Linked DNA regions of Coturnix japonica. The protein of the gene in region 1 purifies or fractionates together with the protein of each later gene. This does not show direct contact. Links are inferred from orthologs where the notes say so. Each region holds a gene or a part of one and is shown on either strand. Other genes may lie near its edges.

Region 1 (4,280 bases):
AGCCACCTTCTGTACTGCACAAAGAAGGCAGACACAAACATCCAACCATGGAGGTATATGGCCCATGTTCTGTAACAGTTATAGTAACCTAAAACAATGTTACTGAAAAACTTAACTTATTTTTTCTTCTTCTCTAAGTTCTGTGTCACGATGCTGAACTATTTCTAGCTTTTTGAACAGGGAAGATGCTTTCTGTATTGATATTGAGGAACAGAGAAAGGCACATACCTGTCTGCAAGGACGTATGGGTGAGACGTTTGCCAAGTAAGAGGCCTGAACTTCATAACAGAGATGAAACGCCCCAAGTTATGAATTTCCTGCTTTTGATACTCTCCGTGAACCATCCCAGACAGATAAAACAGCTTAGCACCCTAAATACATTCAAAAGACATTAAAATATTAAACATGAATACAATACTTGCTAAACTGGAAAAACCTAATGCAATTCTGTTTCAGAAATCATTATTAAAATCTACAGAAAATGACTGAGGGATGCCATACCGGATATACTTCAGTCCAGAATCTGTGCTTTAACCTCTTTTTCGTCTTCTTTAACTGTTTGTTGTTCTTGAATGTATCCAGGTGGGTAAGAATGCCCATAATTTTGGGAAAGCCGTGTACCTGACAAATGTTCAGGAATTCAAACGTCTCCATCTCAAACCCAAAGCTGGCATCAATGAGCATCAGAACCTGAGAACACAACATAGGCAGCTCATGGTTTAACACCACTACAATGTCCACATGAGCTAAATTCAAAGACTAAGCCTTTAAAGTCATAAGCTGCTCAGAAATGAAAAACTAGCACAACTTCTGCTACTGATTTTCAAATAGCCTGAAAATCAACATGGGCTTTTTAATTACAGTATGCTTCAGAAGTTAGTACCAGTTAGGGAATCAAATCTAATTTTCCAGTCAAACAATCTCCTGTACAAAGATCTCATTCACTGAGTAGAATTGTAGAAAATATAATATAGAGTAACCTACTAAGGCCTGGACTACTTGGTGAATTTAAACAATGAAAAACTGAGCACCCTCCAATAACAGCAGGATCATTTTGCAGGATCATTCTTCTATGAAGAAGTACTTTCAACATAAATTACAGTAGAAATCACAAGCTATTTGTAACTTACCAGATCAGCAACTTTAGCCAGGTCAATCATTGTATTAACATCGCACCCACATTCAATAATAGTTAGCCTGCGTTTCTTACCTGAAAACAAAAGGAGCAGAAACTCAAAGAGAAAGGAAAGGAATTACTGCACTGATTTCTTTTTGGGTTATACTCCTGCAGTCTAGAAAGTGGACTGCCAACTACGTGCAATGGTAAAAGTATTTGTTTTCAAATGCTTGCAATTCTGTGCCACGTTACCTTTGATGTAAAATTATCAGGCTGAGCACATGGTTTCCAACAAGTTGTTCTGCCTTTTCCAAAAACAAAGTAACAACAGAAGACAAGTCGCATTTTGAAGGAAACCTCTGCTTTGTTTTTTATCTTTGTATCCCAGACCAAAGAGAAAATCCAATTCAGCACATTTTTCCCATCCCATTTATTCCTTTTCTGTCTTTTTATTGTCTATCATTCCTGACAGAAAGCAGATTTATTAGTTTAAGCCTCTCAGGAGTCCACCAACAGCAGACACAACTGCTGGGGTTCAAGCAAGAGTTCCCTTACAATCTTCTTGAAATGCTGTGGGTTGGGCTCCTCCTTGGACCTCAAGGATCCAAATGGCAATAAAGAAGAAAGGCCAAGAGGCAACGGCCAAGTACAAGCTGGGACTGAAAACATAACAAACAAAGGAACACATTTAGATGAACAAAAGCCCAAATCTAACAATTACTTTACAGTTAATAAGTGTGTTTGATAACACAGCCAAATGACTTCTTCAGTATGACTAAGAATCAAGAGAACGTGAACACGTCCTAGTTCTAAAAGCAAGAGAACAACGGAGCATAAAATAGGCATTTCCATTTCTTATATCTCTGTTCTCACCTGAAACAAGAGTAACAGGGCCCCGGATTTCAACCAATTTTTGTCTTGTGAAGTTCTTAATGAGACATTTTATTAAGGTGCTCTTCCCAACCTTGGGAGGGCCAACTACAACCACCACCACTGGAGGTGGCTCCAACGGAGTACGGTCAACCACCGGGATGTGATGTTTTTTAGTCTTCAAATCCTGAGTTCTGAGAAGAAATTTAAAACAAGTACAAGAAGTAATTAAAAAAGGCAATAAATATTCATTTAGAAAATCTTCAGTATCTGTAAATACAAAGGCTCACCAGCTGCCTGGCTATCAACATGACCAAAGAACTATGACTAAGCCTAAGGATCTCTATGGACATTGCTTTTTCCTGGTAAGCTTAGCAGGTAATACAGATGCAGGATGCACCACACTACTGACAAACACATAGATTACAGCACAGCCTTGTCAACGGGGAAAGCTCTGTGAGCCTATCTGTGAAAATTACACTACGTACATTTATAGGTAAAACATTTATACATTTATACATTATATATATACATTTATAGGTAAGGAAGCAGCAGCTAACATTATTACCATGAAATCACATAAACATTGGGAGAGACCTTAAAGCTCACTGGTTCCAACCCCCTACTGTGGGCTGGCTGTAGGGCTCCATCCATCCTGGCCTTGCATGCTACCAAGGATGGGGCACCCACAGCTCCATGCAGCTGTAAAAGGCCTTTACCTGTCCACCTAATGGACTGCGTGCTCTGTAACTAATCCCTGCTGCTCACCTATGGAACGTCCTGGCCATCCGCACAGCGGACTGCACTGTGAAGGCTTTGGGGTTTCTCTTCCGTGCATCCTCCTCCTCTCCAATCCCCAGATCATTCAGATGCCGTTTCCTTTTTTTCTCCGCTTTCGGCCCGCTGTGCTTGGCACGGTGCTTCTTCTTCTCCTTTTCCTCCATCTTACTCCTTCAACAGCCGCCTACAACCAGCGTGGCATGGAAGGTTTCCGTCTGACCGAGCCCCGTGCTGCGAAGCGGGGCGTACAGAACGCTGAGCGCCCACCCCGCTCCCCGGGCCCAGCACCGCACCACCCGCCTGCACACCGCGTGGGCCCGCAGCGCTTTCCGGCCTCCTCCGGAAACAAGAGACCGCACCCGGCGTTCCGGAGGACACCGCGAACACTGAGGCGGTGCCGCCTGCCGGCTGGAACACTGCAGTGCCCTGTGTGTGCAGGGGTCCTTGTACCTCGTGTACATAGAGCTGACACTGTCCGTGTCACAGCGCCCGCAGCTTGTGCACTGGAACAGGCTGCCCATGGAGACTGTGGATGCCCCAACCCTGCAGGCATTCAAGGCCAGGATGGATGTGGCTCTGGGCAGCGACCCTGCACCTATGCTGGGCTTCTTTGTGCACACATCTCTCTAGGAAGCTTCCCCACAGAGATAACCATTTTCACTAATAAGATAATGCTCCGTGTTTAAGTTTCATTCTCTTATATTTATTTCATGCTATAGAAAAGCAGTTCACAGTGTACATATTAGAATCTAGGCACATGTAAAGCATTCCAGAGTCATATTTTAAGCATTAAAAGAGGATTTACGTGTATAAGTTTCAGCGTGATGTTGCTTTAACCCCCTTAGAGCTACACACCCCCCAGACTGGTAAGATCACACCGGTCTTACAGATGGCTGTGGAGGTCTAGAAGGCTAAAAACAGGGCCCTGTGTGTCAAGTGCAATGAACACAATGACACTTTTACCCCCAGTGCAGATCTACAAGTTCAATATAACCCCGGTCAATACCCTTCCTTTGGGAAGTTGAGAATCGATTTGTTTGGTGTTGGTTTGTGTTTGTTTTTAATTAAATTAGATCAACGCAATATTAGCAAATGATTTGAAATATATATATGTATATGTACACACAACAGGAAATCACAAAAATAAAGCCTTCTAAAAGGCTATAAAATCTGGTCATTTTGAAGTGAAAATACTATACATTAAATACCCAAGAAGACACCAGGAGTGCCCTTTACCAGGAGCACACCTAAAACACAAATACACCCAGGCTGCATATCCCACACTCAGACAATCTTGCATTCATGCTATCTCCACTAGACACTCTATATAAAATCAGTACAATCTTGTGCGGTGAGACTACAAAACCAACTCAGCAGTCCAAAGCCTCCTGGTAGAATCCAATGCAGTCTGGGCAGCAGAAGACAAAAGTCTTTGGTACCGAGGTATTGTACTGAGGTATGTCTGTACACACAGGTTAATGTGAAGCTACTGAAAGCCAAATGTCCACAGCGG
Region 2 (3,814 bases), on another chromosome or scaffold:
TGAGCAGGATTAGACTGTTTCTCCATCTGTGTCTTTGCCTGTAGTTACTCTGGGGGCCAGAAGGCTTATCAGAAAAGGGCATCCTGGCAGCATCGAAAATGATCCTCTGCAGAGGATTTCAGTTGTCAGAATCGCCCACAAAACTGTTGGAATTTGTTCCTATTTAAAAGGGCTCGGAGGGAACTCTTTAAGTGCTTGCTTAGCGCTTGCTATTATGTGAACTTTACCATGTAGGAAATTTGAGACTTGCTATGTGAAGTGCTAAATTGCTCTTTTTGCTAGGCATCAAAAAAGAAGTTGAAAAGGGCATATATGATTCTTGCTTTTGTAATATACCTTTGTAGCTGAAGCAAAAAGGCCTCATTCACAGGCTCCCATTGATCAAGTGGTGTGTAGTAGATCCGGACCCCAGGTGCCCTTTATTGGTCCAGTCCCTGACTTTAAACTACAAACTCTCAATCTGTTCATGACTGTTTGTCAAGGGCAGCTCTTAACAGTCTTTGCACTTCTTAACATCATAACTCTTCCACCTCTCCTGCCTCATCCATCCCTTCTGAAAAGCTCATAGCCCTCAGTTATGGTATTCCAGGTACGTGTGCTATGCCATGCTTCAGTGATAGCAATAAGATAGTAGTTTTCCAATTGCACCATGGTTTTCATCTCCACCTGTTTATTTCCCATGCTGCATGTCTTGGTATAGAGGCTTTTCAGCTGGGCTGTCAGCCTCATTACCTTCCTGGAAGAGCCCTCCTTAATTCCCTTAGGAAAAATCTGAGGTTTTTGCCTGCTACTTCCTAAAGTGTTTCCTGATTATTCTCTGTTCCTCAGAAGCACAGTCTCCCCCACCCCCAGTCAAATCTAGTGATGAGGCCTGCCAACTTGCTGCCTAGTACACGTATCATAAGATACAGCAGGTTGAGGGTCTCCACTAGCACCTTTTTTCTAACTTAGCTGTGCTATTCCACATCTTTTCATGGGCAAGTTCACCATTACCCCCTTCTCTTTTTAAATCACATTTAAAGCCCTGCACATAAGCCCAGACAGACCCTGGGCCAGAATTCTTTTCCTCTTGACTTAGATGGACATCATCAGCAGCCATCAGGCCAGGTGCTGAGTAAACCACCCCATGGTCAAAAAAGCCAAAATTCCTGTGGTGGCACCAGCTTCTCAGCCATGTATTTATCAGATGGGTTTTCCCAGTCCTGTCAATTTCCTCCTTGCACCTGAAGGGTTAGAGGAAGATACATACCACCTGTACTCCCACTCTTAGTCCACTAACTGCCTCAGTCCCCTGAAGTCACTTTTGATAGCTTTCAGGCTCTCAGTGGCTTCATTATTGCCAGCTTGAACTATCAGTAAGGAATAATAATCAGTAGGGAGTCTGTCTCCTGCTCATACTCCCTGATGCTCTTCAATCTCTCCACCTCCGCCTTGAGCTGTCCCTATGCTGAGCAGATCATCCATAGGCTCACAACTCATGCGGGTGTATCTGCCATCCTGCGGGGGCAGCAGCAGGCTCAGACACTCCCTGCAACCAAGAGACTGAAACAGCCCTATTTCTGGGCAGGCACTCAGTCTGGGTAGCTGCATTCTTTTTGGCAAGAGCTTTCTGCCTAGTGGAGACCATGGCTAGATTTGTTGTCTGGGAGGCAGCTGATAGGTAAGCCAATCCCCGGACTGGGGAGGGATAATCTGTCCTGCCTGTGCCAGCTGCTGCACCATGCTCTGTTTGCCCACTGTTTTCAGCACTGCTGGGAGCTGTGCTCCCCACAGGCTGCTTTTCTAATTTCAGGGTGTGATGCTGCTGCTCTTGGCCCTGCCCCCACCATGTCAGAGCTGCTGCCACATGGAAGGCAGTTGTGTCTGGCAGCTTGTCGCTGACAGGAATTCAGTTGTCCTGAATAGGCACAGTCAATTCCTTGCTTTAGTGTGGAATGCAGCTGCACCAGAGCTGTCTGCCTGCAGAGAGAAATATGAGCCAGTAGTGTGCACGGGTGTCCAAGAAAGCCAGTGGCAGGGAGAATGGCTTTAAAATAAGAGAGATTTAGGTTAGATGTTAGGAGGAGATTCTTCACTCAAGAGGGTGGTGCGGCACTGCCACAGGCTGCCCTAAGAAGCTGTGGATGCCTCATTCCTAAAGGCATTCAAGACTAGGCTGTATAGGGCTCTAGGCAACCTGATCTGGTGGGTAGCAGCCCTGTCCATCACAATAGGTTGGAACTAAGAGATCTTGAAGGTCCCTTCCAACCTAAGGCATTGGGGTCACAGGACTGTTCCCTTGGACACAGCACAGGGGAGACAGAGCCACTAGTTCCTTGTTTGGTTTGGGGTCCTTCATTAAAAGAAGGATGTCAGGTCATTGGAATGCATTCAGAGAAAGATAACTAAGCTGGTGCAGAGACTAGAAAAAAAGATATATTAGAGGCGGCTGATGAAACTGGAGTTGTTTAATTGGGAGACGAGGAGGCCTGGGGGGGACCTTATCGTTCTCTACATCTAACTGAGAGGGCTGCTGTGAAGTTGGTAGTGGTCTCTTTTCTTGGTTGACAACTAATAGAACATAAGGGTTGCAGCAAGTTGCAGCAGTTGCAGCAGTGGAGGTACCTTTAGCTTAGATATAAGGAAGATCTTAAAGGCCTTTCTTATAGCGACAACTGTATGATTCAGGGTGTTGAATTTATATTTCCAAGGAACAGTGAGACTTGCCACGCTGAAGTAAAACCATCTTGAAAATTACTATCAGTATCTCTCACTAAAATAGTCATTTTTTCTGCCTATTCACTGAGTGAATGTGTTCAAATTGTCACATCACTGTGTTTTCTTAGTCTATCCCAAAATTTATTTGGAATTCCAAATTTCAAAAAATTTGCTTTTATGAATAATTATATTTCTTAAAATGTTAAGTTTGTGCTTTGCCCACAAAGCTAACTTCCAGTTAGCAGCCTCTATAGTTTTGCTTTCTCCAGACAGCATGTTCAGTGGGCTTATGATTTGTTTTAATTTAGCAGGAAACTTTTGACAGACTACACTGTGGCTCTGGATCTGCAACCAATGAAATTCAGAATTTCATGGCATCCTTTTGCTTTAAAGCTGTTTATTAAAGTTCAGAAACACTTCCATGCTTCAGTTTTGTAATGCTTGAACAGAACAGGAAGAGATGAGAGAGAGTACTTTGTTTTGACATTATTCATGGGTTTTGGTTTAGTTCTTTCCCAACCTGCTAGGTGAAATGAATTTGTCACTGTTACAAAATCAAGATTTTTATCTTTTTGGCCCTTGAAAACTGAGAGCAGTAATTCAACCTTTTAAATGTATCTTTCTTCTCCATTACTCTCCTCCCATCTCAATTTCTGGTTTGTACAGAGATTAATTATTAAAACATTATGGTTTACAGGGAGGTTGTGTTGATTCAACAAACCAGAGCCTTGCTCTGCTGCTCATGACCCTTGGACAACAGGATGTTTCCAAAGTCCTGTTAGGACCTCTGTCTCCATACACGTAAGTTGTTTTTTTATTTTTATTTTTTTTTCTTTTCATTTTAATTACTTAGTCTTGTTTAATTCTCTATCACACAGCTATTTGTTCTATATGAAAGATGTTGTCTGTGGCTGTGAGTAGAACAACTTGTCTCATTTTAAGACAGATATGGGTAGTGTAAGTTACTTAGTGTTTATTTTTACACGTTAAAATATTATTTCCTTACCACTGTGTATTCTTTCTGATTCTGAAGCAATTAAAATTGCAGAGATAAGGTTTATTGTGGATTCTTGGTCTTGTAGTGTATGTGTATGTCAGTTAGCTTTTTGTTGCCTAG

What was found.
Region 2: the proteins of BMS1 (region 1) and RCL1 purify together in Homo sapiens (co-immunoprecipitation; 4 studies listed by BioGRID and IntAct, with this or other methods). This does not show direct contact. The link is inferred for Coturnix japonica from reciprocal best matches to the Homo sapiens genes BMS1 and RCL1.

The regions. Positions count from the first base shown.
Region 1 is NC_029521.1:4,145,940-4,150,219, forward strand, and holds the start of BMS1 (ribosome biogenesis protein BMS1 homolog), read right to left. Parts: upstream 3,083-4,280; 5' UTR 2,932-3,082; coding exon 2,756-2,931; intron 2,182-2,755; coding exon 1,991-2,181; intron 1,211-1,990; coding exon 1,131-1,210; intron 691-1,130; coding exon 502-690; intron 372-501; coding exon 229-371; intron 1-228. UniProt on the Homo sapiens protein: GTPase required for the synthesis of 40S ribosomal subunits and for processing of pre-ribosomal RNA (pre-rRNA) at sites A0, A1, and A2.
Region 2 is NC_029547.1:24,742,571-24,746,384, forward strand, and holds part of RCL1 (RNA 3'-terminal phosphate cyclase-like protein), read left to right. Parts: intron 1-3,394; coding exon 3,395-3,498; intron 3,499-3,814. UniProt on the Homo sapiens protein: As part of the small subunit (SSU) processome, it plays a role in 40S-ribosomal-subunit biogenesis in the early pre-rRNA processing steps at sites A0, A1 and A2 that are required for proper maturation of the 18S RNA.